4 linked regions of the Pelodiscus sinensis genome follow. The protein of the gene in region 3 interacts with the protein of the main gene of each other region in a pairwise test. Links are inferred from orthologs where the notes say so. Each region holds a gene or a part of one and is shown on either strand. Other genes may lie near its edges. The genes, in order: PLP2, RPRM, TMEM79 and surfactant protein C-like.

Region 1 (7,219 bases), on a different chromosome or scaffold from region 3:
GGCCCAGGCAAGAATTCCAGCCCCCTTCCTGCCCTGCCTCCCTCCCCCGCACTGAGCGGTGCCTTCAGCCCCCCATGCCAGGGTGTAGGGCCCACCGTGGGGCAGGGCTGCCTGTCAGCTGGGTGCGTGCGGCCACTCAGCTCCAATGCCGCCCCCGCTGGCTAGCAGAGCCCCCCCCAGCTGGCAGCCTGCGGTTGCATGGGCGGTGCCCATCTGCAGACCCCGCGGCGCACGGAACAAAATGTTTTCCACAGGTGGAGAGAAAAGGAGAGGCACAGGGTGAGCTGGTGAGGAGCGGGGCTGGTGGGCGGGGCGTCCCGCCGCTGGCTCTGCCCTTGAACTCCCCCCCCCCAGCAGAGACACCCCGGCAGCCACTGCTGGCAACTTGGTCATTGCTTTAATAGGCTGCCCCAGGGCTACTGGTATTGCTGGGCAAGAAAGAGCAGACCAGGGCAGGGAGTGGTTAGAGCAGAGACTGCTGGGAGCCAGGGCTCCTGGGTTCTCTCCCCGGCCCTGGGAGGGGAGCGAGGCCAAGACACCTGCCCTGGGGGGAGCCGGAGAGCAGTAGGGGAGGCAGCTCAGACACAGGGTAGCCACTGAAGCTCTCAGCCCCCTCCAGGTTGCAGGCTGCTGTTTGCCTCCCCCCCCCCCCCCCCCGGCAGGCAGTAGAAGGGGAAGGGAGAAGCGTGATGGGGTGGAGCGGAAAAGGCAGGGGTCAGGACGATGGATCGAGGGGACGGTCCCGGATTAACAGCAGGCGCTCAGCTCAGATTCGGGCCTGGGCCCCCTTGCAGGCCTTGGGGCCTCTGGCTTGGCTGCCCCGGGTGCCAGCTGTTCCAGCGGCTGTTTGCTCCTGCATCTGGCACAGCCCAGCCCAGCCTCACCACTTCCTGCCAAGGCTCTGCAAACACTGGCTAGGTTGAGTCAGAGGCTGGCTCCGTGCCCAGTCGGCCACCTCCCTGCCTGCAGCGCCTGACCTGGACAGGGGGGCCAGGCGGGGGCCGGCCCGAGCATGGGGCGGGCGAGGCAGCCGGGGGGACGATAAGGGGGGAGATGTGGATGGATGGGTGGATAGAAGAGTCAGGGGCAGGGGGGTGGACGGTGGGTCTCCCCTCACTGAACATCGACCTGCTCAGCACACCTGGCAGACGCAGCAGCGTCCCGGCCCAGCGAGGGGCTGGTGTTCCCGTGTGTGGCGGGCAGCTCCCCTGGGAACAGACGCCGGCCTGTGCGGGGCCGCCCTAGCCAGGCACCGTCTGTTTGCAAGGTGAGTTTGCATTCACCGAGCTTGTGCTTTTTCTGGAGCCGGTTGCCAGGCCAGTCTCGCCTCCCGGGGAGCTGAGGTACCTCCAGGACTGGTTGAGAACCACTGTCCAGCCTTCGCCTCTAGAACAGCCAGGCTGGATCAGACCCAAGGCCCATCCCACCCAGCGTCCGGCCTGCCCACAATGGCCAATGCCAGGTAACCCAGAGGGAGGGATCACACCAGAGAACCAGCCCATTACCCTCCCCGATGCCCATTCCCAGCCTCTGACACACAGAGGCCAGGGATACCCTCCCTACCCAGCCTGGCTAACGGCCGTCGATGGACCTAGCCTCCATGGATTCATCTTGTTCTTTCTTGAACCCTGTTACAGTCCCGGCCTTCACAACATCCTCTGGCGAGGAGTTCCACAGGTCAACTGTGCACAACATGAAGAAAAACTTCCTTTGGTTTGTTTTAAACCCCTAGTTCTTGTGTTATGGGAACAAGTAAATAACTTTCCTTAGTCTCTCCATGCCTGTCATGATTTATAGACTTCGATCAGATCCCTGTCAGTCTCCTTTTCCAAGCTGAGAAGTCCCCGTCTTTTTAATCTCTTCTCATACGGGGCCCGCTCCAAACCCCTCAGCATTTGTGTCGCCCTTTTCTGAACCTTTTCCAATGCCAAGAGACCTTTTCTGAGAAGGGGCGACCACACCTGGACGCAGCATTCGAGCTGTGGGCGTCCCGTGGACTTAGAGAGGCAATAAGATATTCTCTGTCTTATTCTCGATCCCTTTTTGAATGAATCTCAGCACTCGCTTTGCTTTGTGACGGCCGCTGCACACGGAGGGGATGTTCGCAGAGAACTATCCACCTGACCCCAAAATCTCGCGCTTGAGTAGTTGTGGCCAGATTAGTCCCTGTTGTGCATGTAGCCGGGGTTATTTTTTCCATCACTTTGCATTTACCAGCATTACATTTTATTTGCCATTTGGTTGCCCAGTCACCTAGTTTGGTGAGATCTCTTGGAAGCTCTTCCCACTCTGCTTTGGTCTTAACGGTCTTGAGCAGTTTGGTGTCATCTGCAAATGTGGCCACCTCGCTGTTTACCCCTTTCTCTGCATCATTTATAAATAAGTTGGACAGGACGGGTCCCAGGACAGACCCTTGGGGGACCCCACTTGTTACCTCTCTCCACTAAAACTGACCATTTATTCCTCCCCTTTGTTTCCTGTCTTTTAACCAGTTGCCAATCCATGAAAGGACCTTCCCTCTGATCCCATGACAACTGACGTTACTTAAGAACCTTTGGCGAGGGACCTTGTCAAAGGCTTTCTGGAAATATAAGTGCACTGCATCCACTGGATCCCCCTTGGCCACATGGGGGATGATACCAAACTGGGTGGGGTTGCGACTTCTTTGGAGGATAGGGACATAATTCAAAATGACCTTAGCAAGTTAGAGAAATGGTCGGAGGTAAACAGGATGAGGTTTAATAAAGAGAAATGCAAAGTGCTCCACTTAGGAAGGAACAATCAGTTCCATACATACAAGATGGGAAGCGACTGTCTAGGAAGGAGCATGGCGGAAAGGGATCTAGGGGTCATAGTGGACCACAAGTTGAATATGAGTCAACAGTGTGATGCTGTTGCAAAAAAAGCAAATATGATTCTAGGTTGTATCAACAGGTGTGTTGTAAGCAAAACTCGTGAAGTCATTCTGCCGCTCTACTCTGCACTAGTTAGGCCTCAGCTGGAGTACTGTGTCCAGTTCTGGGCGCCACATTTCAAGAAAGATGTGGAGAAATTGGAAAGGGTACAGAGAAGAGCGACAAGAATGATTAAAGGTTTAGAGAACATGAGCTATGAAGCCAGGCTTCATGAACTGGGCTTGTTTAGTTTGGAAAAAAAAAGATTAAGGGGGGACATGATAGCGGTTTTCAAATATCTAAAAGGGTGTCACAAGGAGGAAGGAGAAAATTTGTTCCTCTTGGTTTCTGAGGACAGGACAAGGAGTAATGGGCTTCAAGTGCAGCAGGGGAGGTTTAGATTGGACATTAGGAAAAAATTCCTAACTGTCAGGGTGGTCAAATATTGGAATAAATTGCCAAGGGAGGTGGTGGAATCTCCCTCTCTGGAGATATTTAAGAACAGGTTAGATAGACATCTGTCAGGGATGGTGTAGACGGAGCTTGGTCCTGCCTTGAGGGCGGGGGGCTGGACTCGATGACCTCTCGAGGTCCCTTCCAGCCCTAGGATTCTATGGTTGTTGACCCCCTCAGAGAACTCCAGTGATTAGTGAGGCAGGATTTCCCTTCCCAGACACCCTGCTGACTCCCCCAACATTGTCAGGGGTTCTCAGACTTGTGATACGGCGCCCCCCCTCTGAGTGGCTCGGGCCCCCGGGGGTCGGGCCCCGGTCTGAGAAAGGCCGCGTTATCTTCATACCCTTTGCTCTAGTTTCAACTCATTTGCCCGGTTCTGAGATTAGGCTCCGGCATCCGACGCTGCTGGACTTCTCCCCTGCGCTCCACCGCCCGCTCAGCCCGGCTCCAGCGCCCAGCGGAGCCACCTTAAGCGGGCTCCAGCGCCCTCCCGCGCCACCTTAACCGGGCTCGAGCGCCCGCCCCGCTGCGGAGCCCAGAGCCTTTCTTGGCCATGGCGGGGGCCCGCCCGGGCCGCGCCCAGCCCCACCCCCGTCGGCTGCCGGCGCCAGTCCCTTGCCAGCCGGAGCCCAGGGGCTCTGCGGGTCATGGAGCCGTCGGGCGGGCAGGGCTGCGTGGGGCGCTGCGGCGCCTTCCTGCGCTCCCCCAAGGGCATCATCCTGGCGCTGGAGATCGTGAGTGGGGGCCCGGGGCGCCCACGTGGCCGGCCGCGGCGGGGGGCGCCCGGGCTGCCCGCGGGAGGGACCCAGGCGGCCAGTGTGATGGGGGGCGGGGGATGCCGCGCCCTCCCGGCTCGGGGCGGGCAGCGGGGTCTAGCGGTGAGAGCAGCGGGCTGGGCCCCTCCCGAGCCCTTCCCCGCGCTGTTATTTCGACACCCCGAGCTTCCCGCGCCGGGGCCATGTTCCTGGGTGCGGCTGCCCGGCGTGTCCGCGGGGGGCTGCGCTGGGGTGCGCGCAGCTGAGCCGGTGCGGCTTCCGCGTGTGCTGCGGAGCGGGGTGTGTGTGGCTCTGGGAGGGGTGTTACACGGTGTGTGTGTGTGTGTGCGGCTCTGGGAGGGGTGTTACACTGTGTGTGCGCGCGCGGGAGGGGTGTTACACTGTGTGTGTGTGTGTGTGCGGGAGGGGTGTTACACTGTGTGTGTGTGTGTGTGTGTGTGTGTGTGTGTGCGGGAGGGGTGTTACACTGTGTGTGCGCGTGTGCGGGAGGGGTGTTACACTGTGTGTGTGTGTGTGTGTGTGTGTGTGCGGGAGGGGTGTTACACTGTGTGTGTGTGTGCAGGAGGGGTGTTACACTGTGTGTGCGCGTGTGCGGGAGGGGTGTTACACTGTGTGTGTGCGGGAGGGGTGTTACACTGTGTGTGTGCGCGCGGGAGGGGTGTTACACTGTGTGTGTGTGCGCGTGTGCGGGAGGGGTGTTACACTGTGTGTGCGCGTGTGCGGGAGGGGTGTTACACTGTGTGTGTGTGTGTGTGTGCGGGAGGGGTGTTACACTGTGTGTGCGCGTGTGCGGGAGGGGTGTTACACTGTGTGTGTGCGCGCGGGAGGGGTGTTACACTGTGTGTGTGTGTGTGCGCGCGCGCGGGAGGGGTGTTACACTGTGTGTGTGTGTGTGCGCGCGCGCGGGAGGGGTGTTACACTGTGTGTGTGTGTGTGTGTGTGTGCGGGAGGGGTGTTACACTGTGTGTGTGCGCGGGAGGGGTTACAGTGTGTGTGTGTGTGTGTGTGTGTGCGGGAGGGGTGTTACACTGTGTGTGTGTGTGTCTCTGAGAGGGGTGTTACACTGTGTGTGTGTGTGTGTCTGAGAGGGGTGTTACACTCTGTGTGTGTGTGTGCACGCGCAGGAGGGGTGTTACACTGTGTGTGTGTGTGTGCGGGAGGGATGTTACACTGTGTGTGTGTGTGCGCGCGGGAGGGGTGTTACACTGTGTGTGTGTGTGTGCGCGCGTGCGCGTGCGGGAGGGCTGTTACGCTGTGTGTGTGTCTCTGGGATGGGTGTTACTCTGTGTGTGTGTGTGCAGGAGGGGTGTTACACTGTGTGTGTGCGTGCGCGGGAGGGTGTTACACTGTGTGTGTGTGTGTGCGCGGGAGGGGTGTTACACTGTGTGTGTGGGGGGAGGGGTGTTACACTGTGTGTGCGTGTGTGCGCGCGCGGGAGGGGTGTTACACTGTGTGTGTGTGTGTCTGGGAGGGGTGTTACACTGTGTGTGTGTGTGTAACTTGGTGGGAGTCACAGGCTGTGCTGGTGTGTAGCTGTGCGGCAGGGCGTTTACCATGTGGCTGGCAGGGTGCCAGAGGGTGTATGTAGCCATGTGCTGGTGTGTGCAGACTTGGGGCAGGGCCTGTCACGCGCACGTACATGTGTGTGTGCACGCGCATCTGGAAGGGGTATTGCGCGCACACACACACTGTACCTTGGGGGGAGTCTCCGGCTGTGCCGGTGTGTAGCTGTGCAGCAGGGCATTTACCGTGTAGCTGGCAGGGCGCCGCAAGGTGTATCTAGCCATGTGCCGGAGCGTGCAGACTTGGGGCAGAGCCTGGTGTGTGTGTGTTGTGTAAGGAGCAGTGCAGCGTGTACCCATGTTTGGAGGGGAGGGCACAATGGGGGGTGTCCTTGGTGGGGGGACTGTGTGCGGGCAACCCTGGGATCTCTCTATTTGGGGAGACAGGGGGGTTATAGGCCCCCCCATCTGGCCTTTCCCTGTGCCTCACCCCAAAGAAATGATTAACTCCCCAGCTCCCCCACCCCGCTCTCCTACAGGGAAAAGTGAGCCCAGGCATCCTGGCTTCCAGCCAGCTCCTGGCACCCCTAGACCTGGCTCCCAGGCCCCCTCGCTCTAACCACCAGACCCCACTGCCCTGGCTTGCCTTCTTAGAAAGGCAGGGCTCCTTTCAGGCACGTTCTCCCAGGAAGGAGACAAGATGTTTACAGGGCAGAAGCAACAGGCCCCGGCAGGGCCGAGGTGTGACTGGGCAGGGAACACACGCCCAGTTCTGTGCCCTGCCCAGACCCGTCTCCTCACGTCCCGCTTCCCCACCCCTCTGCTGCTAGCGGCCCAAGCTCCTTGCGGCAGGGTGCTGGCTCTTTAAGTACTCGCTGTAATCCCCCTCTGCTCCACCACCACCCCCCCACTCCGCCTGTAGCGGGCACTGTTCCCTCTGCTCCGCCTGTAGTGAGCACTGCCCTTTTCACAGCTCCCCTCTACTCCGCCTGTAGCAGGCACAGCCCCTTTCACCTCCCCCTCTGCTCCACCTGTAGCGGACACTGCACCCTGCTCTGCCTGTAGCGGACACCACCCCTTTCACAGCCCCCCGCTCTGCCTGTAGAGGACCCCTTTTGCAGCCCTCCTCTGCTCCACCTGTAGCGGGCACTGCCCCTTTCACAGACCACGCCACTCCTTCCGTAGGGGGCACACTGCCCCTTTAATAGCCCCATGCGCCCCACCTGTAGCAGGTGCTGCAATTTTTAAGAACAGCTCAGGTGCCTGCTGTAGGTACTGCCCCTTTAAGACCCCGTCCTCTCTGCCTGTTCTGCACACCGTCCCTTTAAGGCCCTCCTGTCCCATCCGCCTGTAGCAGCCTCCAGACCTGACACTATTTGGCAGGGGGAGCGGGTGTCATGTAATGGTTGCCATGGTGCCCAGCCCCACCTCTCCCCTCCTAACACTCGCCCCTTTGTCAGCCCGCGTGGGCTGGGATTTTGGGCCTCCAGACGCGACAGGCTGGAACATTCCCCAGGCGCCCTGAATGCCCCACCCGGCCCACGCGGGACCCGGGCTCCCACTCCCCTCCCCCCACTCTAACCACCGGCCC
Region 2 (6,931 bases), on a different chromosome or scaffold from region 3:
TTTGCAGGGAGGGTTTTATCTATTTTTTAAAAAGTATTCTGAGGGTGGGGGAAGAACACACACACAGTACAGCAAGCCCTAAAATCCGGCTATAGCACTGATCAAAGGCTCGAGCTAACGTGTAAGAACCAAGGCACATTTCTGGCTCTTGGCGGGATTCCAGGCTGTTCGTTCAAAGTGCTGGTCTTACTTTTAGGCCTAGCCCCCATCGCCTTTGTGTGTCACTATTGCTCAAAAGGATGTTTTAAAAGGCAAAATAAAACGGCAGATTCCTGAGTTGCAAAGACGAGGTATTGACTGTGTTGTGTATTTCAGGCTCAATCGACTTGCCGCGGACATTGATTCAATCGATACTTTTTTCATCAAAGTTCCCTTTCTAAAGCTAATTACAGGAGCGATGACTCCTAGCAGAGCACAACTCCCCACTTTTTACTAGCTGCGTAACATGCTTTTCATGGTGGATCCCACCCTGTGACAGACGCGTAGCCTTCCCCCCAGCTCCGTCCTAACACGGGAGGACGCGCTTTAAAACGACCCTTGGGTGAAACTGACCTCCTGTAGCGGCACTCTGCTAAGCCCCGCGAGCTCCTAAACTGGGGGGGAGCAGACTTGCGAGGCAAAGCGCGTTGCCGTTCGATTCCCGCAGCGTTACGATAGTCGCGGTTCTTGGGTTGTGCCCTGGGCTGATCCCCTTTGCCCTCTCCCGAGCCTCGACCCGTGTTTTCTCTAGCCCCCCCCCGGGCAGAGCGGAGGCGGTGCGCCTGCAGACCCGAGAGCGAACGGGGTGGCCGGCGGGGGAAGCGCACAAGGACCCCAAGAGCGCAGGGTCTAAAAGTTTAAGGTGTATTTATTAAAGCCAATGAAACCAGGAAAAGAACAACAACAACCGGCCGAGCGCGTGTGGCGGGGCAGCCCGGGCCGTGGCGAGCGAGGGCTCAGCGGAGCGGCTCGCAGGCGCAGGAGGGACCGGTTCAAACTTGGCGAGCCGAGAGCGCTCCCGCAGAAAGACAACTTCGCCCATCGCCGGGGCTGGGCCAGAGGCCACGCGCTGTACCCCCCGCGTCCCGCCGAGCCCAGGCGCCGATCTCCAGTCCCCGCTGAGCTCCCGCAGCCCCTCGGAAGCAAATCTCGTTTACCACAGGAATTAACACTCGCCATGCAGCAGCCCCCCACCCACCCGGCGCGCCAGCGCCGCTATGTACAAGCCCCTGCAGGAGGCGCCGCTCCGGCCGTAACACGCAGGGGCTGCCCGGCCGGGGCTGTCCTCGCCCCCAGCCACCCATCCTCGGGCGCCGCCAGCCCCGCGCAGCAGGCGCGGGAGATCCTGGACCGACTCCCGGCAGCCGGGAAAGAGCCCCCCGGCGGCAGGTCCCGGGGCGGGGCTGGCCTCCTCGCACAAAAGGCCACGGGGGCCGGCGCGGCGGTGCCACCTGTTCGCTCGCCAGTCAGTAGGGCCCCACCACCACCGCCTCCGCCTCCTTGGACGGCCGCCGGTCCTTCACCAAGAAGTTGATCATCCCCTCGGACTTGATGAGCAGGTTGCAGCCCAGGAAGAAGATGCCGAAGACCACGGTGAGCGAGAGCACGCACATGACCGCGATCTGCACCACCCGCATGATGTAGAGGCTCCGCTCGTCCGGGCCGCTCCCTGCCAAGCCGTTGTCCGTCACCACCGAGGCCGGGGTGCAGCAGTTCAGCAGCCTCCCCAGGGAGTCACTGCTGTTGGCGGCGAAGAGCCCCGCCGCCCCGGTCTGATTGCCCAGCGAGGCGTCCATGGCCAGCGGCGGGCACGGGCGGGCGCGGAGCGGAACAGGTGGCCCCGGAGCGCAGCCCCGGGCGCCTCATGCAGCAGCGGCCGCGGAGGAGGGAGGGAGGGAGCGGCGGGGTGCGGGGCCAGGCAGCGGCCGCTCCGGGCGAGTTCTGCGCTCGCCCGCCTCCTCCGGCTCTGCTGGGGCTGCGAGAACTTCTGCGCCTGGAAGGGCAGCCACTCGCCGGGGGAGGCGTTCGCTGGCTCTGCGGCCTCCAGCTCCGAGGGGAGAGCGCCCCTGCCCGGCTCCGGCTGCCGCTGCAGGCAGGAAAGGCAGGAGCCTGCTGCTGGAGTCACAGCCCCACTCGCCTTGGCATGGGAGGACTTGGAGATTTGGCTGTAAAGGGCTGGAGGGCTCCCACCTGGGGCTGGGGACGGGGAGGTGGCAGCCCAGAGGGAAGGACTTGGCTGCTGCAGGGACTTCTCCACAGCTGGGTAGAGGGGACAGATTCCACCCACCCCCTGCAGCTGCCTGGCACAAAGCCACTGCAAAAGCTGGCACCTGTCTCCTGCTGGGCCCAGCTAACTTTGGGCTGCATCACACCTGGCATTCCCACCCCTCCCTTAGCTTTGCTGTCTAGATGTAGTGCCTCTGCAACTGGCAGCAGTGATACCTTGTTTGTATTTGTAGGTGCAGTTTCCCAGGGGGTGGCCAACATTTGTCAGGACAGGGTAAAATCGAACTGCTGGATCCAACTTTTCTTGGTGCAGTTTCATGAGGACACTGGGTCCAGGATTCATAGTGTGCAGCAAGAGTATGTGAACATCTTCTCTATTTAGACATTGGAATTTGGCTGATTCACATACACACATACAAAACAACACACAAAAGTCCATTTAAACCAAACTTGGCAGGATCTAGCTTTTTGCAGCACCTTTGTTCTGGGATTCACTTATGGTAGTATAGTTAGTTTCTTTTGGTGTAAGATGATCAGCTACATTTGCTCTTTATGTATGCAAGAGATTTGCAAGGGGTGGGACCAAAAATTGGCTAGTTCATCAAGATACGCAAGTCAGATCAGTGGGGTTTCTGTGCTGTTATGATCAGATGAATCATTATCTGGATTATATCGACACAATAGGAGTGTCTCCAGCAGGGGTGGGCAATAATTTTTGATGGGGGGGCACTCCAAGATTTTGGAAAGTGGTTGAGGGTCACACTCTTCCATGGTATTAATGGAGGAGGTGTGTGGTCTGGGATGGAGGTTGAGTGCAGAAGGGAGCTTGGGGTAAGGGATTGGGGTGCAGGAGGGAGGATGGGATCAGGGAGGGAGTTTCGGTGGAGGGAGTTGTGATCTAGGGCAGGTGACTGGGGTACAGGGGTTTGGATTGTAACCTAGGCAGGAGACTGGGGTGCCAGATCTGGGTTGGGGTATAGGTTCAGGAGGGTTTGGGTATGTTAAGACAGAGGGTTGGGGAAGAGAGCGGCTGGGGTGCCAGAGGCAGGCTATGTCCAGGAGACTTACCAGCCAGAAGCCCAACCAGCCTGCCTCCTTGCAGAGCTAAATGCTTGCAGAGTTTAAAAAGTTTCTCAGCCAGCCTGCCTGCCCCGCCCCCTGCTTTGTGTGCTTCCTGTTATTCAAACAGGCAGCTCCCATTGACAAGTTTCGGTCCAGAAGCAGGCCGCTGGGATGGGAGTTACACCTGAAGCCTTCTCCCCTCCCCTCCAAGTTCAGTTTTTAAAAAGAAAGTGCCCCGCAGCTGCTTTTCTGAGCAGTGTGTGAGGCTGCGGGGCAAACAGGGGAGCCTCTCTAGGGCTCCCCGCTGTGTCTACAGGCCAGATCCAGTGGCTTGGTGGGTCAGATTTGACCCGCGGGCTGTATTTTGCCCAGGCCTGGTTTAGATGTAAAATCAGCCAGATGTTTTAACCAGACCCATTTATTAGCTGAAAATGCAGGTGCCATATGATTACTTGTGTCCGCAATAGCCACGTGTCTCCCTTTGCTCCATTCAGCTGCTTCTAAACAGCAAAGTTCTAAGGTCCCAAACATGCAAGTATCCATAGTTAGAAATCTTCAGAAATTTTTTTGTTGCACAAAAGTATAAGCACATTGCAGGTTGCTGGCAGCTGATTCTCCTAAAATCCTAAAGAGTAGCTAAATAGTTTAACAGGATGCTATGCATCATCACTTACGGTGCCATTAGAGTTGTAGACCTAATTCTGTATCCTTCTTCCCTGCTTTCTGGAGAACTGTGTATTTGGGAGTAAGAGCTGAAGCATTTCAAATTGAATTCCACATGGTTTTGTCTCAAAAATTGACCTTATGTCAGTCTGAATGGCTAAATTGAACAGTTTATCTTGTATGTCTTACTTTCCCAGTAATGGGGAGGGGCAGAGGTGGAGGTTGGTAAGGACTTTCATCACCAAGCACACAGATACAAACAGAATCTATTTGTCATGAAAAACAAACAAACCAGCAAGTGTCGAATGACCAGGCTGAAATTAATAGCTTTCTGTCTTGTACAGCATGAGCTAACCTCTAGGCTCTTTGTAAATCTTCCATGACTCGAGGAGGAGAGAATCTGTTGTGTGTGAAGCCTGTCTTCTGGATTACTGATGGTGTTTTCCAGCTCTGGAAATAAGATAAGGTTGGAGAAGGGCAATTCCTGTTGTCACCAATGCATCCAGGATTTTTGTTGCCTGTTGCCTAACATATAGCGAGAATGTAGGGTCAACAAATGGACCCATGACACCCAAGACAGCAGAAATGTGTCCATTGCTAGAGCCTGTTGGTGGGTCTCCTTGCAGCCTTACAATTCATCCAGCTGGCTGAAAAGCTGGGTTGGAAGAATTTCACTCCTATGGGGCCCAAACACCCCCATAGGAGGTTTTTGCATATTGTCTTGCTGTTGATCCAGTACCAAATCCCTGATTTGTTGTGAGATGCTATAATTGTCATCCCTGCAATCTCCTGCTGGAATTGAAATTTAATTTTCTGAAACACCTACAAGAATCTGCTTGGTAGGGCTGTCCAGCACAGAGAGCAAAGACACATTGTGAAATTGATAGATAGAATGATTGATATGTTTGTGCAAAAGGTTACCCAATCAAGTGGCCTGTCTTTGTCAAATTGTGAATAAATCTACAGAGTTCCAGGCAAGTGATCCAGAGGGATGACTCTGACCCTCCTTGTGGCATTTCCTGCAGTGCAATCCCTAGCTGATGAGCTAACATCAAACTGCCATTAAGTGCTGAAAGAACCCAAATATACCATAATCCCTTTCCTCATTCCAGGCCTGCCCTGACTCTTCTTCTAAGCAAAGTTTGTTGGTGTCTCAAAGTCTTTCCTGAGACAAAGATTTCTTCTGTTTCCTGCACTCTTGCTGCAGACTTACCTGCATGTAGAAATTTCTTGGCAAGCCAAAAGGGACATAGCCAATCCTTTCCCTGTGCCCCCTTCAGAGCTATCTGTTATGAAGTCATAAATTGGATGAGCTCTGATGTCATTCTCACATTATCAGACAGGATAGGAAGAGGGCATTTTGTCTTCCCTGATGTATACAAACCACCATATTAATTCTAATCAGTGATGAAGAGCTGGTAGTTATTTTATCCAGTGGATAGTGGAAGACACACAAAATCTTTAGAAAACCCCATATGATTCTTATCTCAACAACTGATATTGCCAGGGCTCTAGACAAAGTTTTGGAGCACCCCTTAATGACAAGATTGTTTTATGGACAACCCTGCATCCTGGGCATAATTCTCTGTGGGTACGTCTACACTGTGGTGCTATTTCAGGATACTTCTGGCATCCTGAAATAGCTACTCCGCATCTTTTAAGCAAGCCCATTATTTTGAAATATAATGGTCTCGCTATTCCAACAAACCTTGTTCCACAAGGACGTTTCAGAATAGTGGTTAATTCTGAAATTTGGCATTGTGTAGATTTACAAAATAAGCTATTTTGAAATGAACTCAAAATAAGCTATGCAATTAGTGTAGCTCAAGTTGCATAGCTTATTTCGAGATTCTGGTGCAGTGTAGATGAACTCTGTGAGTGCACCATCTCCACTTCCAGTCAGGAAGGTACCACATGTCCACAGCAGTTAGAGAAATGGCTTATTTGGAAAGTAATTAATGTCCTTTTAGCTTTTTAAAAAAGGTTAGTATCTGGGGGTATGTCTACACTACAAAGTTAGTTCGAACTAACTTTCATAGGCGCTACACTAGTGCTCCGTTAGTTCGAATTTAATTCGAACTAACGGAGCGCTTAGTTCGAACTAGGAAAACCTTATTTTACGAGGATTAAGCCTAGTTCGAACTAGCTAGTTCAAATTAAGGGGTGTGTAGCCCCTTAATTCGAACTAGTGGGAGGCTAGCCCTCCCCAGCTTGCCCTGGTGGCCACTCTGGCCAACACCAGGGAAACTCTTCTGCCCCCCTCCCGGCCCCGGATCCCTTAAAGGGGCACGGGCTGGCTACGGTGCCCGTGCCAGGTGCAAGCCTGCCAGCACCCAGCCAGCAGACCCTGCACCTGGCACGGCTCGAGCCAGCCACCCGATGCCCCCCAGCCCTCCCCCTCTTCCCGGGACCAGGCTGGTGGCTCCCAGGAGCTTGCCTGGGACCGCAAGAGGCGGGCACCCCCCTGGGCTAGTGCAGACATCGTGGACCTCGTCCATGATCTCCGCACTAGGCACAGGAAAGTGGCCATCTAGGGCAGGAGAGCTGCCAGCCTGGCCACCCAGGAGCAGGTGTGCAAGAGAATCAAGGGGGTCTAGTGAGACCCCCGACCCTGAGCCCTGAGCTTACAATGGCCGTCCTGGGTCAGACCAAAGGTCCATCTAGCCCAGTAGCCTGTCTGCCGACAGCGGCCAACCCTAGGGACCCTGGAGAGGATGGACTGAAGACAGTGACCAAGCAATTTGCCTCGTGCCATCCCTCTCCAGCCTTCCACAAGCCTTGGGCAGGGACACCACTCCTACCCCCTGGCTAATACCACTCCATGGACCCAGCCTCCATGACTTGATCTCACGTCCCTTTAAACTCTGTTCTAGTTGTAGCCTTCACAGCCTCCTGCAGCAAGGAGTTCCACAGGTTGACTCTTTGCTTTGTGAAGAACAACTTTCTGTTACTAGTTTGAAGCCTGCTACCCATTCCTTTCCTTTGGTGTCCTCTAGTCCTT
Region 3 (8,347 bases):
TGGCCGGGAGTGGCAATCCATGGCCAGCCAATGGGAGCTGTGATTGCCTATAGCAGGTAAACAAATCGTCTCACAGCTAGTGGCTTGCCCTTACAAGCCACAACACAGAGTTTGAAATCCCCTAATCTAGATATTTGGCTATTTTTACAACACACTATGTAAAAAGCACTAATGAATGCTGTACAAATTATAATGTCACGCAGACAATGACTTGTTTATACTACTCTACATATTCTTCACTGAAATAGGGAGGGATAGCTCAGTGGTTTGAGTATTGGCCTCTGAAACCAAAGGTTGTAAATTCAATCCTTGAGGTGACTATTTAGGAATCTGGGGCAACTCTGTCAGGGATGGTACTTGGCCCTGCCGTGCATGTAGGGGACTGGACTTGATGACGTCTCTAGGTCCCTTCTGGCTTTATAAGATAGGTATATCTCCATATAATTTACATTCCAACTGATGGATGATAAATATTATAATTAGATGGTAAAAAGGAAAAAATCAGATTTTTTTCAGTAACCATGCATGGTGACACTTAAATGTTCATGTCTAATTTTGTAAGCAAGTAGTTTTTAAGCAAGCTGAAACTTGGGGGTACATTGATGAATCAAACTCCTGAAAGGGATATAGTAATCTGGGAAGGTTTAGACTGTACTCCCTTTGGAGCAGGGACTATCCCTTACTACGTGTGTGCACGCAGCTTAGCACAACAGGGTCCTGATTTCAGTGGAGGTCCCCAGAGTAACTATAATCTACTATATATTTGAGAGAGATTGTACATCTGTCCATCCATCTGTCTGTGAGTCCATTTGAAGACCTCCTCCTAAACGGTAAGAGCTAGGACCAACAAATTTGGTAAGCACCTTCCTCTGATCATAACTTAAAGCAAGATCAGGGTTTGATTTTGCCAGGACACTGGGATGTGCCTGGAATGCAATTGCTCATGAAATGGAAATCGCCATTTTCGCGATCGGGGCTTTTTTGCTCAAAACAAATCTGAGCTGTCTACACTGGCCCTTTTGCGCAAAAGCTTTGCGCAAAAGAACTTTTGCCCGAATGGGAGCAGCCTAGTATTTCCGCAGGAAGCACTGATTTCAGACAGTAGGAAGTCAGTGTTCTTGCAGAAATTCAAGCGGCCAGTGTAGACAGCTGGCAAGTTTTTCCTTCGGAGGAAAACCAAAAAGATTAGGGGGCTACAGCACATGACCTATGAGGAGAGACTGATGGATTTGGGTTTGTTTAGAGTGCAGAAGACTTACAATTTACAGTGGGGGAGCTCTCGGTTGGATATTAGGAAAAACTATTTCACTAGGAGGGTGGTGAAGTACTGGAATGAGTTACCTAGGGAGGGGGTGGAATCTCCATCCCTAGAGGTTTTTAAGTCTCGGCTTGGCAAAGCCCTGGCTGGGATGATTGAGTTGGGATTGGTCCTGGCTTGGGCAGAGGGCTGGACTTGATGACCTCCTGAGGTGTCTTTCAGCTCTAGGATTCTATGTGCTTCTCACCTGACCCCAAGCTGCTGTACTGAGAGAGGACTGGGATTGTCCTCTCTCCTGAGTGAAGACTGCATGCTGAACCCCTCATCCCCCACCCCAGAGCTTTAAATGAAGAAAAGAGTTAAGGACTCGAGCAACGCCAGGTAGATCTTCTAGTTCATAATGTAATCAGTCCCTAGGAAATCCACTTTGTATTGTAAGCCACACAAGCCTTCTAAAGTTCAGGGTAGATCAGTGCTAGGAGATGGGACCCAAGGGAGCAGAATTCAAACATATGTTTAAAATATGTTAACAGGCTGAATCAATGGGCATTCCACGTCCTAAGTAAAGTTCAGTTATCCACCCATTGGGCAGTGCTGTGATGGGATGGAGTGAAAGAAGCTAAATTTGGAATTTCTTTTCTGGAGTATTTAATTGCATACATTAATTTTGATCATTAGATCCTAAACGTAATCTGATGATGGGTTTTGGGGGGTGGCTAGGATAAACAGTAGCCACGTTAGGTCTATTCCCCCATTTCATTTCACTAAATTGCTCCACATCAAAACAAACCTTGGTGTGCTTGCTTGGCGAAGTGGCTGTGGATGTGTATTATCTGCTTCTCTCTGCCGCCAAGATCCTTGTGAGTTGTTCCAACTGAACAGAAATATTGAGAGCCCCTGGCTGGCTTCCTACGCTACGCAGATTAAGCACCCAAACTACTGTCCAATCCAGGGGTTGGTACATAGCGCAAACTAAATATTGATCTAAGATTCTGACACTGAAGTCAGCATTTATCCTGATGTCACATGTGCCTACATGCACACAGAGTTTATATTACACAACACACACCACACTTCTATATGCATACAGGCAGATCCACACGCGACAGCTCTAATGCCTGTAGCTATCACATTCACACATTTTGCTTTCAGCCTATACGGATACACACAACATACGACACACTTTTATCCACATAGAAAAACCCCCACACAGAAACCACATTTACACACCTATGCCTATTACATACACAACATATATACTTATATGTTCCCTATCCTTACACATATATGCACCAATACACACAGACACCACGTGGCACACACACACACTGCAAATGCACCAAACAGATAATACACACACAACGCATGTATATGCACACACACATCAAAGACACATGTGCAAACAATCCAGTCACACATACCCATGAACAGGAAAACACAACACACAAACCTGAATGCATAAGACAACACAACTATACACCACACTGACATCCCTTCACAACATGAGTATACGTAAGCATGTTAAATAATAAATAAATAATAATAATATATACTTTTATAAAAGGAGAAGCATCCGTCATACTCTCTGTCACAGAGAACATTTGAGAAGACTTGACAAGTTTCATGGGGAAGGCAGGACCCTAGCCAAAACTCCACCCCCTCTGCTGAGGCCCCGCCCCCACCATGGACAGGGGAACATAAGAACATGAGAACGGCTGTACTCAGTCAGACCAAAGGTCCATCTAGCCCAGTATCCTGTCTGCCGACAGTGGCCAGCACCAGGTGCCCCAGAGAGGGTGGACCGAAAACAATGATCAAGCAATTTGTCTCCTGCCATCCCTCTCCAGCCTCTGACAAACAGAGGCCAAGGACACCATTTTATCCCCTGGCTAATAGCCTTTTATGGACCTAACTTCCAAGAAATTATCCAGCTTCTCTTTAAACTCTATTATAGTCCTAGCCTTCACAGCCTCCTCTGGCAAGGAGTTCCACAGGTTGACTACACGCTGTGTGAAGAAGAACTTTCTTTTATTAGTTTTAAACCTGCTCCCCATTAATTTCATTTGGTGTCCTCTAGTTCTTCTATTTAGGGAACTAATAAATAACTTTTCTTTATCGGCCCTCTCCACACCACTCATGATTTTATAGACCTCTATCATATCCCCTCTCAGTCTCCTCTTTTCTAAACTGAAAAGTCCCAGTCTCTTTAACCTCTCCTCATATGGGACCGGTTCCAAACCCCTAATCATTTTAGTTGCCCTTTTCTGAACCCTTTCCAAAGCCAAAATACCTTTTTTGAGGTGAGGAGACCACATCTGTACACAGTATTCAAGATGTGGGCATACCATAGTTTTATACAGGGGCAGTAAGATATTCTGGGTCTTATTTTCTATCCCTTTCTTAATAATTCCTAGCATCCTACTTGCCTTTTTGACCACCACTGCACACTGTGTGGAAGTTTTCAGAGAACTGTCCACAATAACTCCAAGATCTCTTTCCTGATTTGTCATAGCCAAATTAGTCCCCACATACTGTACATATAGTTGGGGTTATTTTTCCCGATGTGCATTACTTTACACTTATCCACATTAAATTTCATTTGCCATTTTGTTGCCCAATCACTCAGTTTGGTGAGATCTTCTTGGAGTCCCTCACAGTCTGCTTCTGTCTTGACTATACTAAACAGTTTGGTATCATCTGCAAACTTTACTACCTCACTGCTTACCCCTTTCTCCAGGTCATTTATGAATAAGTTGAAAAGGATTGGTCCCAGGACTGACCCTTGGGGGACACCACTAGTTACCCCTCTCCAATCTGAAAATTTACCATTTATTCCTACCCTTTGTTTCCTGTCTTTTAACCAGTTCTCAATCAAGAAAGGACCTTCCCTCTTATCCCATGGCCATGTAATTTACACAAGAGCCTTTGGTGAGGGACCTTGTCAAAGGCTTTCTGAAAATCTAAGTATACTATACCTACCAGATCCCCCTTGTCCGCATGTTTGTCAACCCCTTCAAAGAACTGTAATAGAGTAGTAAGTCAGGATTTCCCTTTACAGAAACCATGTTGACTTTTGTCCAACAAATTATGTTCTTCTACATGCTTCACAATTTTATTCTTTACTATTGTTTCGACTAATTTGCCCGGTTCTGACGTTAGACTTACCGGTCTGTAATTGCCAGGATCGCCTCTAGAGCCCTTTTTAAATATTGGTGTCACATTGGCTACCTTCCAGTCATTAGGTATGGAAACCGATGTAAGGGATAGGTTACAAACCACAGATAACAGCTCAGCAATTTCCCATTTGAGTTCTTTTAGAACCCTTGGATGAATGCCATCCGGTCCCGGAGATTTGTTAACATTAAGTGTTTCTATTAAGTTTTTCTCTTCCCGGGAGAAGGAGGAGCAGCGCACAGAGCGCACACAGGCCCCCCACCACCACGGGGAGGGGAAGAGTGCAAGCACGTGCCCTAGCATCCCAGGAGCAGTGGGGAGGGAAGAGGCTGCACAGCCCCATCTATCCCCGTCCCCGGGAGCAGCAGGAAGGGAGGAGGCAACGTGGCTCCAGCATCCCCGGCCCTGGAGCAGTGGGAAAGGAGGGGGCCGCATTGCCCAAGCCAGATCAAGCCTCCCCACCCCCATGAACAGCGGGGGAGGGGGAAGGCCACGTGTATGTCTACCGTCGCAACGGGACGGGTAATAAAATAATAATAATAATAATACACTACTACTGCATGACTCAGACACGTATTACACAAACAAGCCTGCACAAGACATGGCTGCAGCACAGAGACATGCATACACAACACACAGGCACCACACAAACATGCACCCACCCCACATGCACAACACATGCCCACAACCTGTGGGAACAGCCTTTTCTGCCGACGGATTCAGCAGGTTGGGTGAGGCAAATCTGCCTCTGCCCCTTTAATTGTAGCCACACCTTGGCTGGCTAAACAGGTTTGAAGTCCAGGAAAAGGAAAGAAGCCTCAAACAGCGATCAAACCCCAGGACAGCCATCCGCAAAACAGCTCCGTTTCCACATGGCCCGGCTCAGCCCAGCCTGCTCTCCAAGTAAGCAGCCAAGCAGGGAAACCAGCTCTCTGCTTTGCTATGCTCATTTTCTCTTGCAGTCTGGTGGAGTGGAAGGGTTGTTCTGAAGAGGGGTACAGGGAGTTCTCTGGGGGTGGCGGGGTGTATGTGTGTGTGAGTGAGAGAGAGAAAGAGAGAGAGAGTGTCAGACTACTGCTCGGTGCCTCGGTTTCCCCATCTGCAATGTGGGGACAGTGCGCCTGCCCTCTTTCGTACGGAGATCTCTGAATGAAATGTGCTATGGAAGAAGCTAGGGACTATTCCTGGGTGTGCAAGATACAAGGCTGTCCCTACTGATAGGCAAAACACGCACCACAAAATTTGGGCCCCCAGTTTCATGGTGTCCTCTGCAGCCGCATGCTGTGTATGGGCTCCAGCCACCTCCAGCCCCAACCCCCAGCGGCAGCAAGCAAGGCTCAGCACCCAGGCCCCACTCACCAGGCGGCAGCAAGCAGCTCTCACGGGCTGGGGGACTCGGAGCAGGGGGCAGCCGCACAGTGGGCGGCTGGAGAGACGAGGCGCTTCCCCCGTGAACGTGCTGCTTCTCTTTGGCCAAATGCGCGTCCACCCGCTGCTCCTCTGGAGTCTCCTGGCCTGCGCCTCCCTCCCGGCCCTGCTCCCGCTTGTCAGCTCCACCATCACTACAGTAAATGGCGTCCGGTCCGGGAGAGGTGGCAACTCCTTTCCCCTCCCAGGAGGGGTACCAGTACTGGGATGCATCGAGCACCAGTACGGACAGCCCTGGCAAGAAACGTGTCAATACTTTACTTGTGGCTTCTTTGACACCCTCTCCTTCCACCGCTAACGCTGTGGCAGAAGGCATCGCAAGTGGCTCTTAATCTCCCCCGTATTGAGCCCCACATGGACACGCTCCTATGTCTCTTGAAAAGCAGCAGGGCTAGATCCTCCGCGGGGGTAGCTCCCAGACACCGGCTGGGAATCTGGCTCCCCAGGGATCCCTGACGGGTGCACAGAGTTCAACATTGGGGTGAATAAACTAGCTCTCCTCCTTGGCAGATCTCAGCCAATCCAGGAGGGGCTGCCAACATTTCCCGGCTTTGCCCCCATGCGTAACACGACAGGGGCCGTGTCGCCTCCCAGTGCCTATTCTCTGCCAGCCTGGGGGACATCATTTCAAGAAAGATGTGGAGAAATTGGAAAGGGTACAGAGAAGAGCGACAAGAATGATTAAAGGTCTAGAGAACATGACCTATGAAGCCAGGCTTCATGAACTGGGCTTGTTTAGTTTGGAAAAAAGAAGATTAAGGGGGGACATGATAGCGGTTTTCAAATATCTAAAAGGGTGTCACAAGGAGGAAGGAGAAAATTTGTTCCTCTTGGTTTCTGAGGACAGGACAAGGAGTAATGGGCTTAAAGTGCAGCAGGGGAGGTTTAGATTGGACATTAGGAAAAAATTCCTAACTGTCAGGGTGGTCAAACACTGGAATAAATTGCCAAGGGAGGTGGTGGAATCTCCCTCTCTGGAGATATTTAAGAACAGGTTAGATAGACATCTGTCAGGGATGGTGTAGACGGAGCTTGGTCCTGCCTTGAGGGCGGGGGGCTGGACTCGATGACCTCTCGAGGTCCCTTCCAGTCCTATGATTCTATGATTGTCTCCTCTCCTATGGGCTAGCCTACTTCAATCTCCTTTCAGTTGCTGGGATTGGTGTGCGGGTGGTATCGGTGGCCCGTGAGATACAGGTCAGACGAGAAGATCTGGTAGGGGTCCCTTCTGGCCTGCACCTCTCTGACTCAGTGGTATTTTAATTATTGGTCTGCTGCCTGCAGTTGAGAGGGGCCTGCCTCCCAGCTCTTGCAAATCAGCATTCAAGCCACTCCCTCTAAGGCTGGAGAGATTTGCACGGTGTGTGTGCAGCTCAGGGACGCACTAAACATTTTTGCTCCTCCTCAGTTTAATAAATGTCCCTCCAGGTAAGCTCATGGCTATCGGCAAGTATTTACCTGCCTGATGAAGCAAAGGGCCCTGTTAAACTGGATGGGCTTTGCCAGAACTTCTGAAAATCAAGCCCTTCTCTTTTAACTACCATCCAGGTTCCAGAGCCCCAAAATTTGCATCTCTATTCCCAACATTCAGGGATCTTTATGTTCAACCAATAAGGGGCCAGAGCATAAATGCAGATTCCAATTCAGAAGTGTTTTGGATCCAAGATTTAGGTTCCAAGAAGGGATGTTAAAGACTAGTCGACTAATCCACTAGCCAATAAGCATTTGCTTATCGGATAGTCTTTTGACTAGTCGACTAATTGATTTCTCTGTCCCCCTTGCTGCTTCTATGAGATAGAGGCAGAAAAGCAGAGGGGAGGAAGGGGTACTTCAAAGTGGCAAGTGTTTCACCCCAAGGCAGTGTTTCAAAGGAGCAGCAGCTGCACAGATGATCTGTGGATCAGCTGTGCGGCGGCGGCCACTTTAAAATGCCATTTCTGGCATTTCAAAGGGGCAGCTGTTGTGGAGCCCAGGTCCAGCTGGGCACTCCCAGCTGACTCCAGGCTCCCCGCTGCATTTCCCCACAACCCGGGATTAGCTGGGGAGATCCCGGGTTCTGGAGAAATTCCGTGCAGAGCCCGGGATCAGCTGGACAGTCCCCAGTTGACCCTGGGTTCCACTGCCCCTTTGAAATGCAGGGAGGTGGCATTTCAAAGGGGCAGTGGAGCCCAGGGTTAACTGGGGACTCCCCAGCTGATCCCAGGCTCCGCGCAGCACTTACGCAGAACCTTGCACTTCCCACGTCCCCCGCTGACCCCGGGATCCATGGCTTTGAAATACACAAGAGCCCTCGCAGGCCGCAGGGGACCCTTGTGCATTTCAAAGCAGGCACCCGCGTACAGCCCGGAGTCAGCAGTACTTCCTGCTGGCCCCAGGCTGTACGTAGAGTTCCACTTTCCTCCTTTGAAATGTACAAGAGCCCCAGTGGGGGCTCTTGTACATTTCAAAGGAGGAATGCAGAAGTGCCTTTCGACTAGTCAATGGAAA
Region 4 (7,245 bases), on a different chromosome or scaffold from region 3:
TCACACTCTCACACACACACTCACACTCACACACAGATGCACACTCACACACATTCACACACACAAACACAGATGAACACTCACACGCACATGCACACTCACACACACTCTCATACATGCACGCACACACACACATACTCACACCAACACACACAGATGCACACTCACACGTACACACTCACTCACACACGCGTGCCCACACACACAGATGCACACACAGAGACGCACACTCATGCACACACACACAGAGATGCACACACACACACAACGCACCTGCACGTGCCATGCAGCAGATGCACACCCCAGACAAATAGGGGCACCGCCCCACACACATCGAACACACCCCGAGCACAAGCCGCCCTTCCCCACCCTGGCGATGGAAAAAAAGGTCTGTCCCAGCAGGGCCCTGCAGAGATCCAGCAGGGACGGGCGCAGAACAGAGGAGACTGCATCTCGTTCTGCCCGGGTTCCACCCCGGCCAGGGAAGGGGAGACCCACGGGCGCAGGGAGGGGCGCTGCGAGGTCTCTGGGGGGTGGCCCGATGCCACGGCAAAGGGCCCAGTCAGGACCTAGTGCTTAGTGAGAATCAGCTGTGATGAACACAGTGGAAGGAAAGGGCTGCCTAGGGCTGTGCTGGGGAGCTGCCCAGGAGGTGGCAACACAGGGAGAAAAGTGTTTGTGTCTCCCTCTCCCTACACACACGCACATGCTTACTGCCCTTGCACCAGAACACGCACACGCTTACTGCCCTTGCACCAGCATGCATACACACACTTACTGCTCTTGCACCAGAACACGCACACGCTTACTGCCCTTGCACCAGCATGCATACACACACTTACTGCTCTTGCACCAGAACACGCACACGCTTACTGCTCTTGCACCAGCATGCATACACACACTTACTGCTCTTGCACCAGAACACGCACACGCTTACTGCTCTTGCACCAGCATGCACACACATGCTTACTGCCCTTTCACTAGCATGCACACACACCCACTTACTGCCCTTGCACCAGCACGCACACACACACTGCTCTTGCACCAGCATACACACACTTCCATTTGTGTATACACTGAATTCGTTTGCACAACGCACACATTGCACCTCTGTGCACGTCCCGGATGATCAAAGACTCCCAGGGTGCACACGATGTGCGGGCATACAACCCCCGTCCCCGTGCTCACGCAGCCAGACGTGCACCGCCACACACACTGCCACAGGCCACGCTCTAAAAGAAAACGACCCCCACCCCGAGGGGCAGAGACCCCCAACAAGGCCGTGCAGGCACGGTGATCTCATGCAAACTAGCAGCTCCAGGATAGTCCCGACAACCTGCATGCACCCAGCGGGTTATTACTGAACACACATCACATAGATACCCCCTGGAATCCCCCCGTCTGTGTTAGCCAACCCACAACCACCCCATCCTCTTGCACCCCCAGAGAATGTGCTGCCTTTTGGGGAACCCCCAAGAGCATCAAGGACCCTCAGCCCGCAGATACCCCCCCCGCTTTCTCCCTCACCCCAGCAGAGGCTCCCCTAACCCCCCGTATCCCACCCGCGATCCCCCCTTGCCCCGCTCCCGGCGGCTCGGCCGCTACTCACAGGGAGATGACGTCCGGGGGCAGGTTCCTGGGCACCGCCTTGGCGTCGATGCAGAAGGCAGTGTCCCGGGTGCAGGAGCAGCTGGGGGGACACAGGGGCAGCTTGGGGGCTCGCTTGGAGCCCGCCGGCAGCCAGAGGTAGGCCAGGCTCAGCAGGAGGAAGGCAAGGACTCGCCCCCGCTGCATCACTTTGCCTGGCTGCAGCTCAGCCATCGCCCTGACCTGGCCTCCCCCACCTCCAGGAGAAGAACCCCCCCGGACCGTTGCTTCAGTTCTGCCCTGGACCCCTCCCAGCGCCCCTGGCCTGGCTGTCAAGGCCGGGAGCTGCAGCCAAGAGCCGGAGCAATCCGGGGAGCGAGGATGCTACAGTCCATCTTGCTGCTCTGCAGAGCACCACACTCAGCTGCCAGAGGGGGGGTGGAGCAGGAGTGTTTTGCTGCCGAGTGATTCGTCTAAGTTCTGTCGCTGCTGGGGATCTCGTCGGTGCACGGGGAGGGCGTGAGCCCATTGTGCACACTAGGGTGTGCACGAGTGTGAGCTGCCTGCACTCCCGCGCTTGCAGGGGTGCACGTGCTGCACGTGCCAGTGTGTGGGTGTGTGTCCCAGGTGTGAATTCTGCGCGCATGTATGAACGCATACGTGCGTCTCTCTGTGCGTGCGAAAAGTGAAAAGACACGTGCAAGAAGGCTGTGGTGAATGTTTGTAGCGTGTTCGTGGCAATGTGGTGTGTACACAAATATAGGATGGTGTGGTTCCTTCGCAGGTGCGGGGGTCTACCTGATGGCGCACGCCCGGATTGTGTCTGGATGGGACTGCGAGCTTCTGTGCGTTTGTGTGTGCTTGCACGAGCCTGAGTTTGCACATTCTGTGGGTGCTTGTGTGCATGTTCTGTTGGTGCGTGTGTGGACACACGCACGGAGGCCGGAGCACTTGTGTGCGTGAACACGTGTGCACGTGCACGAGTGTGCACTGAGTGCTCTTGTGCGTATCCGGAGTGCAGGGTAGGGCAGTTACCACACAGCCTCGTCCGCTGGCTTCTGGCCCTCGCCAACTCACCCTCCCCATCACGCCCCCCCTCCACGCACACTGAGACCTGCACCTGCAGCAGGATCCTCCCCGTGAAGCAGGGTCTCCCTGCCTGCCCATTTCCTTCAACCTCTGCCCCGCAGCATTCGACCTACCGCCGATCCCCTCCCCCATCGCCCTGGCAGCCACCTCCCCTGCCCCCCCCCCCCCCCCCCGTCCCACACGTCCTTGCGGAGCCTCCTGGATAATTCATGACGAGCGGCGAGCGGCACCAGCCAGCAGTGGCTCCGGTCCCAGGCACGGCCGTCTCCTGGCTCCACAGAGGCAGTCTCAGCTCTGCAGCTGGCGCCCCGGCCAGGGCACTGACAACACACAAACAAGGGGCTGGGGGGCCGGGCAGAGGCAGGGCAGGGGAGGAAGTGGGGCTGGAACTCCTTTTGGGGTGGGGGTGCTGAGCTGCACCCCGCCCCCACCACCCCGGCTGAGAACCGGCTGCCAACTCTCCCGGACCGGATTCCACCGCTGCAAACGGCGTCCGGTCCAGGAGAGCTGGCGACGCTCACGCCCCAGGCTGGGGGCAGCTGCAGAGCCCTGGGCCGACGGCGGGACCCCGGAGCTGGTGGGGCCAGTGGGCAGTGGGACCCCGAGGCCCGACAAAGCCCGTGGGGCTGGTGGAGGCAGGACCCCGAGGCCCGGCAGAGCCCGTGGGGCTGGTGGAGGCAGGACCCCGAGGCCCGGCAGAGCCCGTGGGGCTCGGGGAGGCAGGACCCCGAGGCCCGGCAGAGCCCGTGGGGCTCGGGGAGGCAGGACTCCGAGGCCCGACAGAGCCCGTGGGGCTCGGGCAGGCAGGACTCCGAGGCCCGGCAGAGCCCATGGGGCTGGTGGAGGCAGGACCCCGAGGCCCGGCAGAGCCCGTGGGGCTCGGGCAGGCAGGACTCCGAGGCCCGGCAGAGCCCATGGGGCTGGTGGAGGCAGGACCCCGAGGCCCGGCAGAGCCCGTGGGGCTCGGGCAGGCAGGACTCCGAGGCCCGGCAGAGCCCGTGGGGCTGGTGGAGGCAGGACCCCGAGGCCCGGCAGAGTCCGTGGAGCCAGTCCAAGTGCCCCAGCGCCCCCCCCCCCCCCCCGCGAGGACCAGGCGCTCCCGGCGAGGGCTCTCGCCAAAGGCCTTTGATGTGCGGCTCTTGCTTTGAACCTCTGAAGCACCTTCCGGTGCCAGAGGGGCTCAGAGGCGCGGGGCTCCGAGCCAAGCCTGGCTCTGGCCACATTGGCGGGCCGGAGACTCCCGCCAGCCCCTCGGAGCCGGGGGGACTCTGGCCTCGCAACCCCTGCGGTTGCGGCTCTCGGGCGCTCAAAGGCCCACGTGCCCGGAGACAAGAGTCCTTGGAGCCTCTCACCGGCCACGGGCCCGGGGCTTATCGGAGACCTGCCTCTGAAGGGCCCCGGGAAACAGGTTCACAAACAAATCCGAAGGGAATTAAACACTTGATGTGGAGCCGGGAGGGCCTGGGGAACGCCAGTGTCCCACCGCTCCTCCGCCCGCCTGCCCTCTGCTCCTCCACTAGCTCAAGCCCCTTATATAAGCCCTTCTCCAGCCACGACGGAGCACGGCGGGATCCACAGAACAAGATGGATGTGAGCACCAAGGAGGCGCTGATAGAGGCCCCGCCGGTACGGCAATGAACACAGGCTGGGCGGTTTTGCGTTTGTACAGCACCTAGCGCAACGGGGTGCAGGGCCACAACCGGGGCTCCAAAATGCTACGTTAATATAAGTAATAACGACTGGGGAGGGGGGTCCTTTCTCTCCAGCATACACCCCTCCCCCCTCCCCCGGTTCTGCTTGCTGTCAGCGTTTTTCTCCGTTCCCACAGGACTACACCGCCACCCCGAGGGTCCCCGGCTTCGCTTCTCGCCTCAAGAAACTCTTGATCGTGGTGGTGGTGGTCGTGGTCATCGTGGTGGTGGTGCTGGGCTTCCTCCTCATGGGGCTGCGTTTGTCCGAGAAGCACACGGAGACTGTAAGTGGGGCGTTAAAACACGGGTCCCCTCCCGCCAGGCGCCCGCGCAGGGGGAGGGGGGGCTGCTCGGAGCCAGGCCTGGTGCGGAGGGGCAATGCGCCAATGCGCCAGAAGCAGATGCCGCCGGGCACAGCGGGCGGCCACCGCATGGGGCTGGTGCAGCCACGCCTGGAGCTCAGGCAGCGGGGGAAATGCGCCCGAGCTAAGACGCCGGAGCAGCCGGGAGAAGAGGCTGCTCCAGCGCCTCCGTGGGAGCCGGTGGGGGTGTGGACAAGCAGAGGGAACCCCAGAGGAGGCTGGGCCGTTGGAGGACTAGGGTCTGTGGTCAAAGCAATGACCGACCTCAGCAAAATTTCTGGGGTTCCTTGGAACCTCAGGAGGTCACCTCACCCCCTGCCCAAAGCAGGACTAACCCCGATTCAACCATCCCAACCGGGGCTTTGTCCAGCCGGGCCTCAGACACCTCCCGTCTCTTTGCCGGCATGGACTCAGCAGGGGCGAAGGGAAACGGCGCATCTTCAGAGGCGCGTCCTCAGGCAGGCCCTGCCTTCCCAAAGCTGCCCCAGTGCCCCGGCGACCCAGGAGGGCTGGGGCAGCTCGGCTCCCCCGCTGCCTGGGAGCGCTGGGCGGTAGCACGGCATCCCCGGCCCTCCATGTGGCCAGGAAGGATCGGGCTAGGTTTGCCAGATGGTTTAACAAAAAATATCAAAACCCTCCCCTCCGCCAAAAAAAACAACAACCAACCACTGGGAAAAAATTCTTCTGAGGAAAAAAAAAGGGGGAGACCAAAGTTGTTAAGCAAAAAAAAAAAAAAGGTCACTGCAGCTTTAAATTCCTGCCCTTCTCGCTCCCCTGCCCTCACAAACGCCTTTACATGTCCAGTATTCTCTGGTTTTTTTTTTACCAGACAGAAGGCCAAAATACCGAACTGTCCAGGTGAAAACCAGACACCTGGCAACCTTAGATCGGGCTGGGGGTGGGAGGGATTGGGGGGGGGGGATGCTGAAGGGGCGGGGCCTCAGGCAGGAGGGGCGGGGCCTCAGGAAGAAAGGGCGGGGCTGGGGCTTGCCTTCCCCAGCTGGGTCTTCATCTGGCGCCTATGGTATAAGCAATGAACGGCTCTGGCTCTGGCTCCCCGCCGCACACACCTCACCCCGGGGGTGTCCTTGTCCCCTAGGTGTTGCGAATGACTATCCAGAGCCTGGACGGGGAAGGGTCCCCGCAGCAGCTCTCCATACGCGGGAAAGAAAAGACCGGCACTTTCTACGTCACGGCAGGGATCAACTCGTCAGCCACCGTGGTCTACGACTACCGCCACGTAAGCAGGGCCAACGGGGCAAAGCTGGGTGAGGGCTCCGGGGAGCGTCCCCGGCTCGGCTCAGACCTCAGGCAGGCTGGGACCCGGCTGGCCGCAGGCTGGAATCGCTGGAGGCGACCTCGCATGAGCGGTAGAGGAGCCGGGGTTACTTTCCGCCGGGCCCACATCGCCGTCCCAGAGGTACCCAGAGGTCCCAGTGCTGCACCCCAGAGACGAGCAGCGTAAACCCCAAGATCTGCGCGTGCCCCAGGTTTGGGGTGTTCCGAGTCCCACCGTGGGTTTTGGTCTTGCAAATGCAATCTCCAAGGAGGCTTGGATCCCGTTTCCAGCGACCCAGCCCCCCACGCTGCGGACAGGGACACATCGGCCCGGCCCTTCTCCAGCGGAGGGGGCAGGAGGCTGCCGGGCTGAGCAGAGGGGACGGAGAGGGTCACAGTGGGGGAAACAGAAGGGGCCGGTTTGCAGGGTGATTTGGCTCCCGGGGATCTGCCAGGGTTTAACGTCACCCTCTGCTCCGCCTGCAAACAGCTGCTGATTGGCTACCGATCCTGGCCGGGCCGGGCCTGCTACCTCCGCCGGATGGACCCGGAGAACATTCCAGGCCTGGATGCCATTGCCAAAGCCTTTCAGCACCGCCAGGTGAGCGGCCGGGGCCAAAGGGGGCAGAGGAGAGCGCGGGGAAGGGCCGTGAGACGTTTGTGAGAGATGAAAACCCGGCGGAGGCCGCTCAGAGTCCCTGGGAGACCGTCGCACCGGCGGGCTGAGCTCCCCCGGGAATCAGTCCTAGAGACAAACCCAGGAAGGAAGCAACCGGGGAGCATTTCCCGGCGCAGAGCTGGCATTGCCTGCAGTGGCTGCGGCCGGGAGCCCGCGGGGGCCGCTGTCTACCCCTCGCCTCCCTGCTTTCACTGCTAGGCGATGCTGCCTCTCTCCTGTGCCAGATGGATCAATGTATTGGCAAGGAAGGCTCATCTAATGTTTGAGCAAGGGGAGTGTTGCTAATGAGCATTATTCCCTCTCATTTTTTCTAATTTTTTTCAATCCTCGCGTGCCTTTCTCCATCCAGGTGTGGAATAACATTTTTTTCTACGCACCAAGGCACGTGCAAATGTGCACCACCAGCAGAGACACACCACCTCGCTGTGGGGGCTCTGCGAATCAGCAGGGTGGATTTGAATCTCTTCTGTGTGGTTGCACAAGTGCCCAGCATACAGGGAACCCTGCGCGTAGGGGATAAGAGTGGTGGATGGTTTGGCTGTCCTGCCACGGCCCAGGA

What was found.
Region 1: the proteins of TMEM79 (region 3) and PLP2 interact in binary tests that used the Homo sapiens proteins (3 or more experiments, as listed by UniProt). The two-hybrid records come from large-scale screens. The link is inferred for Pelodiscus sinensis from reciprocal best matches to the Homo sapiens genes TMEM79 and PLP2.
Region 2: the proteins of TMEM79 (region 3) and RPRM interact in binary tests that used the Homo sapiens proteins (3 or more experiments, as listed by UniProt). The two-hybrid records come from large-scale screens. The link is inferred for Pelodiscus sinensis from reciprocal best matches to the Homo sapiens genes TMEM79 and RPRM.
Region 4: the proteins of TMEM79 (region 3) and surfactant protein C-like interact in binary tests that used the Homo sapiens proteins (3 or more experiments, as listed by UniProt). The two-hybrid records come from large-scale screens. The link is inferred for Pelodiscus sinensis from reciprocal best matches to the Homo sapiens genes TMEM79 and SFTPC.

The regions. Positions count from the first base shown.
Region 1 is NW_027465877.1:87,047-94,265, reverse strand, and holds the start of PLP2 (proteolipid protein 2), read left to right. Parts: upstream 1-3,920; 5' UTR 3,921-3,997; coding exon 3,998-4,084; intron 4,085-7,219. UniProt on the Homo sapiens protein: May play a role in cell differentiation in the intestinal epithelium.
Region 2 is NC_134717.1:29,121,112-29,128,042, forward strand, and holds RPRM (protein reprimo), read right to left. Parts: upstream 2,153-6,931; 5' UTR 1,776-2,152; coding exon 1,446-1,775; 3' UTR 830-1,445; downstream 1-829. UniProt on the Homo sapiens protein: May be involved in the regulation of p53-dependent G2 arrest of the cell cycle. Seems to induce cell cycle arrest by inhibiting CDK1 activity and nuclear translocation of the CDC2 cyclin B1 complex.
Region 3 is NC_134734.1:16,208,298-16,216,644, reverse strand, and holds the start of TMEM79 (transmembrane protein 79), read left to right. Parts: upstream 1-5,185; 5' UTR 5,186-5,335; intron 5,336-8,347.
Region 4 is NC_134738.1:11,603,896-11,611,140, reverse strand, and holds the start of surfactant protein C-like, read left to right. Parts: upstream 1-3,981; 5' UTR 3,982-4,119; coding exon 4,120-4,302; intron 4,303-4,504; coding exon 4,505-4,651; intron 4,652-5,828; coding exon 5,829-5,969; intron 5,970-6,497; coding exon 6,498-6,608; intron 6,609-7,245. Other genes in the region: LGI3 (leucine-rich repeat LGI family member 3), read right to left, coding at 1,610-1,821. UniProt on the Homo sapiens protein: Pulmonary surfactant associated proteins promote alveolar stability by lowering the surface tension at the air-liquid interface in the peripheral air spaces.